Linked DNA regions of Mytilus edulis. The protein of the gene in region 2 purifies or fractionates together with the protein of the main gene of each other region. This does not show direct contact. Links are inferred from orthologs where the notes say so. Each region holds a gene or a part of one and is shown on either strand. Other genes may lie near its edges.

Region 1 (3,937 bases), on a different chromosome or scaffold from region 2:
CAAATGACACCTACTCAGCAATCAAAATTCAATCAACAGTAATATTAAAAGTAATTATAAAATAAAGTGTAACAATGCAGCCAAGACTTTTATTTAATTAATATAAATTTGGCAAATATTCTGTATTTAACTTTTAATAGATATACATAAATTTAAATAAATTTTAATATATATATATATATTTCGTTCATTGATGTAACATATACATATCATAAATGAATATAGGGCGAACGAACCCAGGGCGAACGGACTATCAGGGCGAACAAACTCAGTGCGAACGAACCTAGGGCGAACATGTAATCAGGGCGAACGATCCCGATACCATGCACGGTCCACCTGATTGCCTATCACAACAATTTGTGGAAGCTGAATTGTCTCTGAACCAACAGTGTTAAAAACATCTTGCAGTTTGTTGATAACAGGGATCAGCCCTTCCATTGCTGAAAGGTTTATTTTCTATTTGATGTTTACATAGAAATTACATCAGAGATAAATACAAATTATTTTTAAGGACATGCACCTGATTGCCTATCACAGCAATTTGTGGAAGCTGAATTGTCTCTGAACCAACAGTGTTAAAAACATCTTGCAGTTTGTTGATAACAGGGATCAGCCCTTCCATCGCTGAAAGGTTTACTTTCTATTTGATGTTTACATAGAAATTACATCAGAGATAAATACAAATTATTTTAAGGACATGCACCTGATTGCCTATCACAACAATTTGTGGAAGCTGAATTGTCTCTGAACCAACAGTGTTAAAAACATCTTGCAGTTTGTTGATAACAGGGATCAGCCCTTCCATCGCTGAAAGGTTTACTTTCTATTTGAATGTCAATCAGCAGTCAGGGACATTTGACTTGTTTCGCTTTGGGCATAAACTCCAAAATTATCTCCGGCACTTTTTCACTTCCGGGTTATAAGGTGAATAAAAGAATGATTTAAATTACCCCGAAACATTTTATATACACATTCAGTGACATTAGATTATTAACATTTATTACTAATGAAAATTTCTAATTTCAACAATATTTATATTCTGACTGTTTTATATATCTTTCACCGAAAAGATTCTGATTTTTTATTTTAATCTAAAATCTTTCTCAAGACAGCAAAAGGGATGACGTATTACACATTGACAGATTTGGCTTACTAATTTTTGTTGTAGTATATTCTCATTATGTCAGAATCTGAAGGCAGTGCTAGTGGAATGTCTGTAAGTTTTATAATATGAGACAGGTGTAACTTTTAAAATAGTACAAAGTCCGTATCAGTAGTTTTTTTTACATGAATTTACAAGTTTTATATGATCTTTAGAAAAAAACTATCAGGTTTTTTAAAACTGCAAGTAAACCTATAGCTATAAATTATAGCTTGATATGGCTGTGATACTGACTAGTTAATTCGTCTATCCTTCAAATCCGACTACTTAACATTGAGAATGATATGGATTTTCATAATTTCTTGATATAACCCTACAAGCTCAATTATGTTTTGAGTGATTATCTCCCCTTTGCATTTTTAAAATTATTTTTTTATGAGGGGAAAAGGAGGAGGGGGGCATGATCTTTTTTGGGACGTCATGATGGGGTGTTTTTATGCTAGGGATTTTCGGATTGACCGTTATCGGGATCCAGGATTTGTTTTTGAGAATTTCGTAATGTCAAGATTTTTTTTCTTCTGCAGGATTTCATGTTTTTAAGCCTGGGATTTTGGGATTAGGGCCCTCCAAACCTCCCTCTTTTATGGGTTTTCATGCTTTTAAGGCGTTACCATTTCCAATAAAAACATGCATTTTACACATTCATATGAGGTTGCAAAAAATTATCTAGCCATACATTTTTATGTTATTATTAATAAGAAGTTCAGTCTAAATCTTTGCAGACAAAATTAGGAGGCACTGTTTCAACCATTCAATTAAGAAGGTAATGATGTGAACAACAGGATTTTTAAACCTCTTATTTCTAAACTCTATGTGCATCTTTACCAATGTCCAAAAACACAAAAAACAAAATGGTAAAATTTGTCATTTAAAGGGAAACTTCGCAAAAAAATCAAAAATTGATATTATGTCCATTCTATATATAGAAATGCTCAAATTTATAGATATTAAAGTTTTATTCCGCTAGATAAGAGATCACCATCGATTTTAAATTTAGAGTATCAACTCTCTGCGTTCCGCCATTTTGTCGTCTTCCCCGATTAAAAATCACGATATGTCTATAAACCACAAAGGACCAAAACTACACTAACCGATGTAGTCGTAATTGCGTGTCGATATCTTGTCAATCGTACGGTTGTTTTATCTGACAAACTAACTTGATACAGAAAATGTTCTTATTTTTTTTTAAATAACCATAGTCTGTTATTTTTAAACTGTTAATATTGGAATTAGTTAAAAAGTCAAAGTTTAAATCATAAATAAGTTTTCCGTGAAAACTGTTTTCGTAAATCTTATTCGTTTATAATTCTTTAAAGTAATAAATTTTATTCAAATAAATTCGGATATTCCCTCATCTGATCACCAGCATGACTAAAGGTATTACTCCCAAAGGTATTGTGAGGGGTGTGAGGTGACACGTCCAGGTATTCAAACGATTTCCTGTCGGGCTTGCAAGTTCATGCATCGTTTCACTTCTGTAGGTATTGATCAGTGTACACGGCCGATAACTTATAACTCTCCATTTTGAACTATCAGGTGTATAATATACATCTCTGTCTTGCGTGTCCGAAAGTGATATAATATACTATAGCCATTACTAAACTCATACGCTTGTTTATAAATAACATTACTGGTGTAAAGAATATTATTTATAAAAATACAAATAATACCAAAAAAAAAAGATTTGATAAAATAAAAATCTATTTACATTTTTTTTCCAAGGTTTAATTTGGGAAAATGTAATATATACTCGTTGTCAATAGTAAAGGACAGATTGGAACATACCAGAAATATTGATTTAATAAAAATGTACGCACTTGTCGACGATTCATTTCTACGCCTGGATAGAAAGTTACGGAGCTATATCGCAATTTAAAATTATTACATGTATACATTGAACATAAGAAAGAAACATACATTTTGTGTAAATTGGGGTAACAGTTTTGTAAATAGACTATTCCACGTATGCCAACAGTATGTAATCATCGAATTCGATAGACCATTGTATACCAAAAGAAGAAGAAGAAGAAGAAGAGGACCAATTTGATTTAAATACAGGTCGATATAATAACTTGCTTCGGTTCATCGAAGTTATGAACATAGTAAAATCACAAATTTATATATCAATTAGATCGTTCTCCAATGAAAGGAAGAAATTCGACATCATCACAATTGTTCCGACATTCATGTAAAACATATGCAACTGGACGTACACTAATAAACCCCAAGGGATGTGAGTATTTTCTAGGAAAACTTTTGAGTATTAAAGTTTCAAATTGATTTCGGGATTTATTTTCTTTCTTCAAATTCAATGACATCAATTTAAAGAATAAACTGCTTGTCCGCTTTAGGGGTATTCTTGCCAGTTGAACAGACTTATAATTACATTCAAAAATAGGGAACTTAAGATGACATTAAATTCGTTGTCTTTTTTTTTAAACATTGTTGGTCAAATAGCTAAAGTATTATTCGTTGTGAGAAGAAGACTATTTTAATAAGGACGCTCCCGATTATGAATAAATTTGGTTGACGTTTTTCACACTTGAAAAGAATTTCTATTCGTAATTTGTCGATTCCATTCCAAGAGGAAACTTAAATTTCCTGTCAATTTTTTAAAACATCTTTTTTTTTCAAATAGCTGAAGTATTCATGCATGGGTTGTGAGATTTAAAATATTTTGATGAGAATATTAATTCCTAAATAGGTAAATAAAGATCGCTTTGGATGGACTAAATCATATAATTGCAATCTGTTTGAAATATTAAAGGTTGGCGA
Region 2 (3,937 bases):
CCTCTGAATTGTTTTAGATTTGTCATTTTCCGGCTTTTTTAAACTGAGTATGTGGTATGGGTTTTACTAATTGTTGAAGGCCTATGGTGACCTATAGTTGTTGATTTCTATGACATTTTTCTCTAATGGCAATCATACCACATCTTCTTATCACTAATATAGATATGTAACACCTATAATAAATAACATCCAACATGTCCAAGTTAAATTATTGACCATAAACTTTGAACTAATGTAATTTTATAAGACCCTAAAACTCTGCTCCTGGTTAACCTTTTTTTTTATGTAAACATAACCTTATACTTACTTGTCTAACTTTTTCACATATTTGTCAACATTCTTTAGAATTTCTGTCTTAATATCTTTCTTTGATACACTTTTTACTGCCTCTATAAATGTTCTTTTTAATTCCTCCTTGTCATAATCATCTCTGTATGCTAAAACGAAATTAGTCTTACTTTAAACTTGTTTAAATATAAGTTCAAGCTTGCATTTTGTGATTTAAAAAGGAAAGATCCAAACAAAATTTGTTTTGCATGGGTCTAAGAAACTTTGCAGTGTTAACACAGACATTTCAGCCAAAGTGGTCCATTTCAAGGCAATTAACTTTTGTTAAACAAAAAAATGTTTACAAATAATTTATATATATGGTTATATGAGGGGGGGATAGGACCTTTATCGGGACTACGGGATCAGGTGTTTTTAAGCTTGGGATTTCAGGATTGACCCTGTCGGGATCCTGGAATTCCTTTATAGAATTTCACGATGTTGGGATTTAAATTTATGTAAATTCAGGACCTCAGGATTTCATATTTTTAAGCCCGGGATTTCGGGATCAGGACCACTCCTATCCCCCCTCTTATATCAATTTGTGTATGAATTGGTATATTATGGGAATAAAGTTAAAGCTATCCTCTACTTCTAGTCACACATTTGACAATAAAAATATAATGTTGTTGCTGAGGTTCTTATCCAATAGGCAATACATGCAAACATATATCCAATATTTGAGCTGAGTAAGAAAATCAAATTTATACTATATAAAGATAACTTGGAGACCCTGGCCTTGAGAGGTAAAATTGACTACAAATTTGATGTGATCTGATTGTTCATGAAATGATTATTTGATGTATTGAAAATATAATTTCACCTTTCAACTCAATAGCCGTTTGTTTTGTGAACTTTGTGGCTTTTTTACTGATGTTCATTTTTATCTGTATTATGAGTGTATACTAAGAAATAATACACGTGCACTTTTCACATTAATAAGCCGAGTGAAGATGTTATCTGAATTTTGATTGGACAAAAGACAAACGGGGTATTCCGAAATATACCAATCAGATAAAAACGCTTAAGCTTTGAAGGATTCTCCTAAATATCAAAGGAACTACATGAACCTTTTCAAAATATTTAATAAATTCGTGTTTAATTGGATGATATACAAATAAAAATATCTTTTCTATACAAATTCCAAGCATAATATTTATACGAAAATATCTCGATTTTCAGATTTTACAACTCTGCCTTTCGGTGCATTGAATTGTGGGATAGAAAGGAATCTTTGATGCTTGTGTTTTAAGAATGAGCAAATTATTTCACTTAAATACGTTTACAAACAATACTTTTGTTTGTAGATGTGTTTTTATGTATCTTATTTAACCCAAGAATCAGTACAGAAGCATAGGAGTAGCCAGAATTGTCAATCAACGTGAAAAGACATGGATTTCGACAGAATGGAAAGCTCCAGTGAGGATATACAATGTTTACATTTGAAAATTTAATCGAATTTCAATGAATACATACTATTGTCATTCAATTTTGTGATTATCATGATATATTTTTGGTTCATGGCAAATTTATGTATTTAATTTCTATTTTCAGGCTTAAATGGGATGAAGGCAGGGATGGATGGAGACAAGAAACTTAGAAGAAATTACAAACTGCTTGTAGATCCTATGATAAGAGGAGGCTCCCAGAAAATCTACAGATTTGATGGGATAGATCCAACGGTAACATGTTATGATTTAAAGAACGAGAAGACTGTCAATTATAACTTTCTTTTCATGTGCATACTTGCACATATGTATACATGTATGCAGCTGAAAAGGAAATATACTTACTTCATGCATTTTTACAAATATGCATTGTCTTAGTACATGCACAAAATGTATGATGTATTTTTATCACAATTTCTGGATACACTCTTACATGGTCTAATTTTAAATGCAAATTGTAAAATTTGAAACCCACCGCTTGTTTAACATGTTTAAATGGTTATATTTTTTTACTTTCTGTCTGTACATGTACAAAATGTAGCTTCAACTATTACTGGTACATGCACTTATAGCATTTTATGTAAAAACATATTAAAAATGAAATATTATTATGTAAATTTGTGTAACATCGATATTGATGATGTAGCTGATTTTAAATTTCAAAGAATTCTGAATAGACTGTTTCATATCTGTAACACCAAAAAATCTTGCCATAGGCATGATAGATGTATGTTACATTGTAGACATCGGTAGAAAACCATAATCCTAGAAAAATTTACATAGATCCTGATTTGTTCAGATTAACATTTTTAGTGTATGAGAGATTTTGATAATTCTGAATATCATATGTATTAAAGACTATTAGAATAGTTATATCATTTAAGCTTTCCTTGTTATAGGACAGTCATCAAATCCACACTAGAGATCCAAGATCAAGGTTAACTCGAATGTGGACAAGAAGAATTCCTGCAGATTTACCTGTTCCAAGATTTACGGTAAAACTATGTAGTGTGTCTCAAAGTTCTCTCTAGAAATGGGTCATTACCCGAACTATGATAATTTTTACTAAGTGTAATAAATGTTTAACTGTTTCAATATGATCTGTACAGACGACCAATTTAATTTTTTTGTCTTAAAGGACTTTTTTGCTTTCCAATATAAATTATATAATTAGAAGATGTGGTACAATGTATGATTGCCAATGGCAATGAGGCAACTCTCCACCAGGGCTGAAGGCTGCAATGTTTCAGTTTCAGGGCCTTCAAAAAAAAAATTTGCAACATCATAGTGTATTGCACAAAAGCAAAAAATTGAACATGTTGAATATGAATTCGAACCATATATCCAATTTTAAGTTTTTTGACTACAGTTATTCAGTGTTCTAGGATTCCCATTACCCGTTACCCGGGGTAAGTGGATTAGGACAACGGGTAAGTCATTTTTTAGCCTTTGTCACCCGGTGGTAAGTCAATTTTCAAGTTCGGGGAAGCCGAAAAACTCTTGAAATTTCCCGGTCCTCTTCAATTTTCCCATACCTGCTTTTTATTTTTATTAAATCACGAGAAAAAACTTTGATAAAAGATCGAAGATTTTGTCGATGTCTATCGGCGCTTTTATTCAAGCACTCGTTTACTAGGTGTAATCAAGCGCAAAAGAGACCACATTCTTCTCCTATCATTCTAAAAGTTGGTCACGGTGTCGGTAAAATCGGAAAATCCGGATTGATAACTGGTGCTTAAATCGGGACATAAACGATTTTTTTTCTTGTCATCGGAGGAAAATAAACTTACAGTTGCATTTATTATAGCTCTTAATAAATGACATAGTAATAACTATAACATATTTGTCAAATTTAGTAAGAAATCGTTTTTGTTGCGCCGTCCGCATTGGTTGGCGGATTTAACTTTTAGATGTGGGTAAGTAATTTTTTTATTGATCTTACCCGTGGTAAGTCAAGGTGCCAAAAAAATCCTAGAACACTGTTATTCTGTGTCAGAAACCTTGTGTATAATGTGTCAAATTTTTGATTGCAATCCAAATTCAGACCTGTTTCAAGTGCGAATATTGTGTCCATTTTTATTCCAACTGTTCATGGTTGGACCTCTGCGGTCGTATCCATCAATTAAATTTATAATTGTGTTAATTTTTCCATTTGTTCTATT

Evidence for each region.
Region 1: the proteins of histone-lysine N-methyltransferase SETD1B-A-like (region 2) and CXXC-type zinc finger protein 1-like purify together in Homo sapiens (affinity purification with western blotting; 16 studies listed by BioGRID and IntAct, counting the BioPlex papers as one, with this or other methods). This does not show direct contact. The link is inferred for Mytilus edulis from reciprocal best matches to the Homo sapiens genes SETD1A and CXXC1.

The regions. Positions count from the first base shown.
Region 1 is NC_092344.1:87,711,734-87,715,670, forward strand, and holds the start of CXXC-type zinc finger protein 1-like, read left to right. Parts: upstream 1-1,094; 5' UTR 1,095-1,180; coding exon 1,181-1,216; intron 1,217-3,937. Other genes in the region: dynamin-1-like protein, read right to left, coding at 337-438. UniProt on the Homo sapiens protein: Transcriptional activator that exhibits a unique DNA binding specificity for CpG unmethylated motifs with a preference for CpGG.
Region 2 is NC_092349.1:14,257,549-14,261,485, reverse strand, and holds the start of histone-lysine N-methyltransferase SETD1B-A-like, read left to right. Parts: upstream 1-1,524; 5' UTR 1,525-1,718; coding exon 1,719-1,746; intron 1,747-1,881; coding exon 1,882-2,009; intron 2,010-2,674; coding exon 2,675-2,770; intron 2,771-3,937. Other genes in the region: glutamic acid-rich protein-like, read right to left, coding at 308-437, 1,151-1,208. UniProt on the Homo sapiens protein: Histone methyltransferase that catalyzes methyl group transfer from S-adenosyl-L-methionine to the epsilon-amino group of 'Lys-4' of histone H3 (H3K4) via a non-processive mechanism.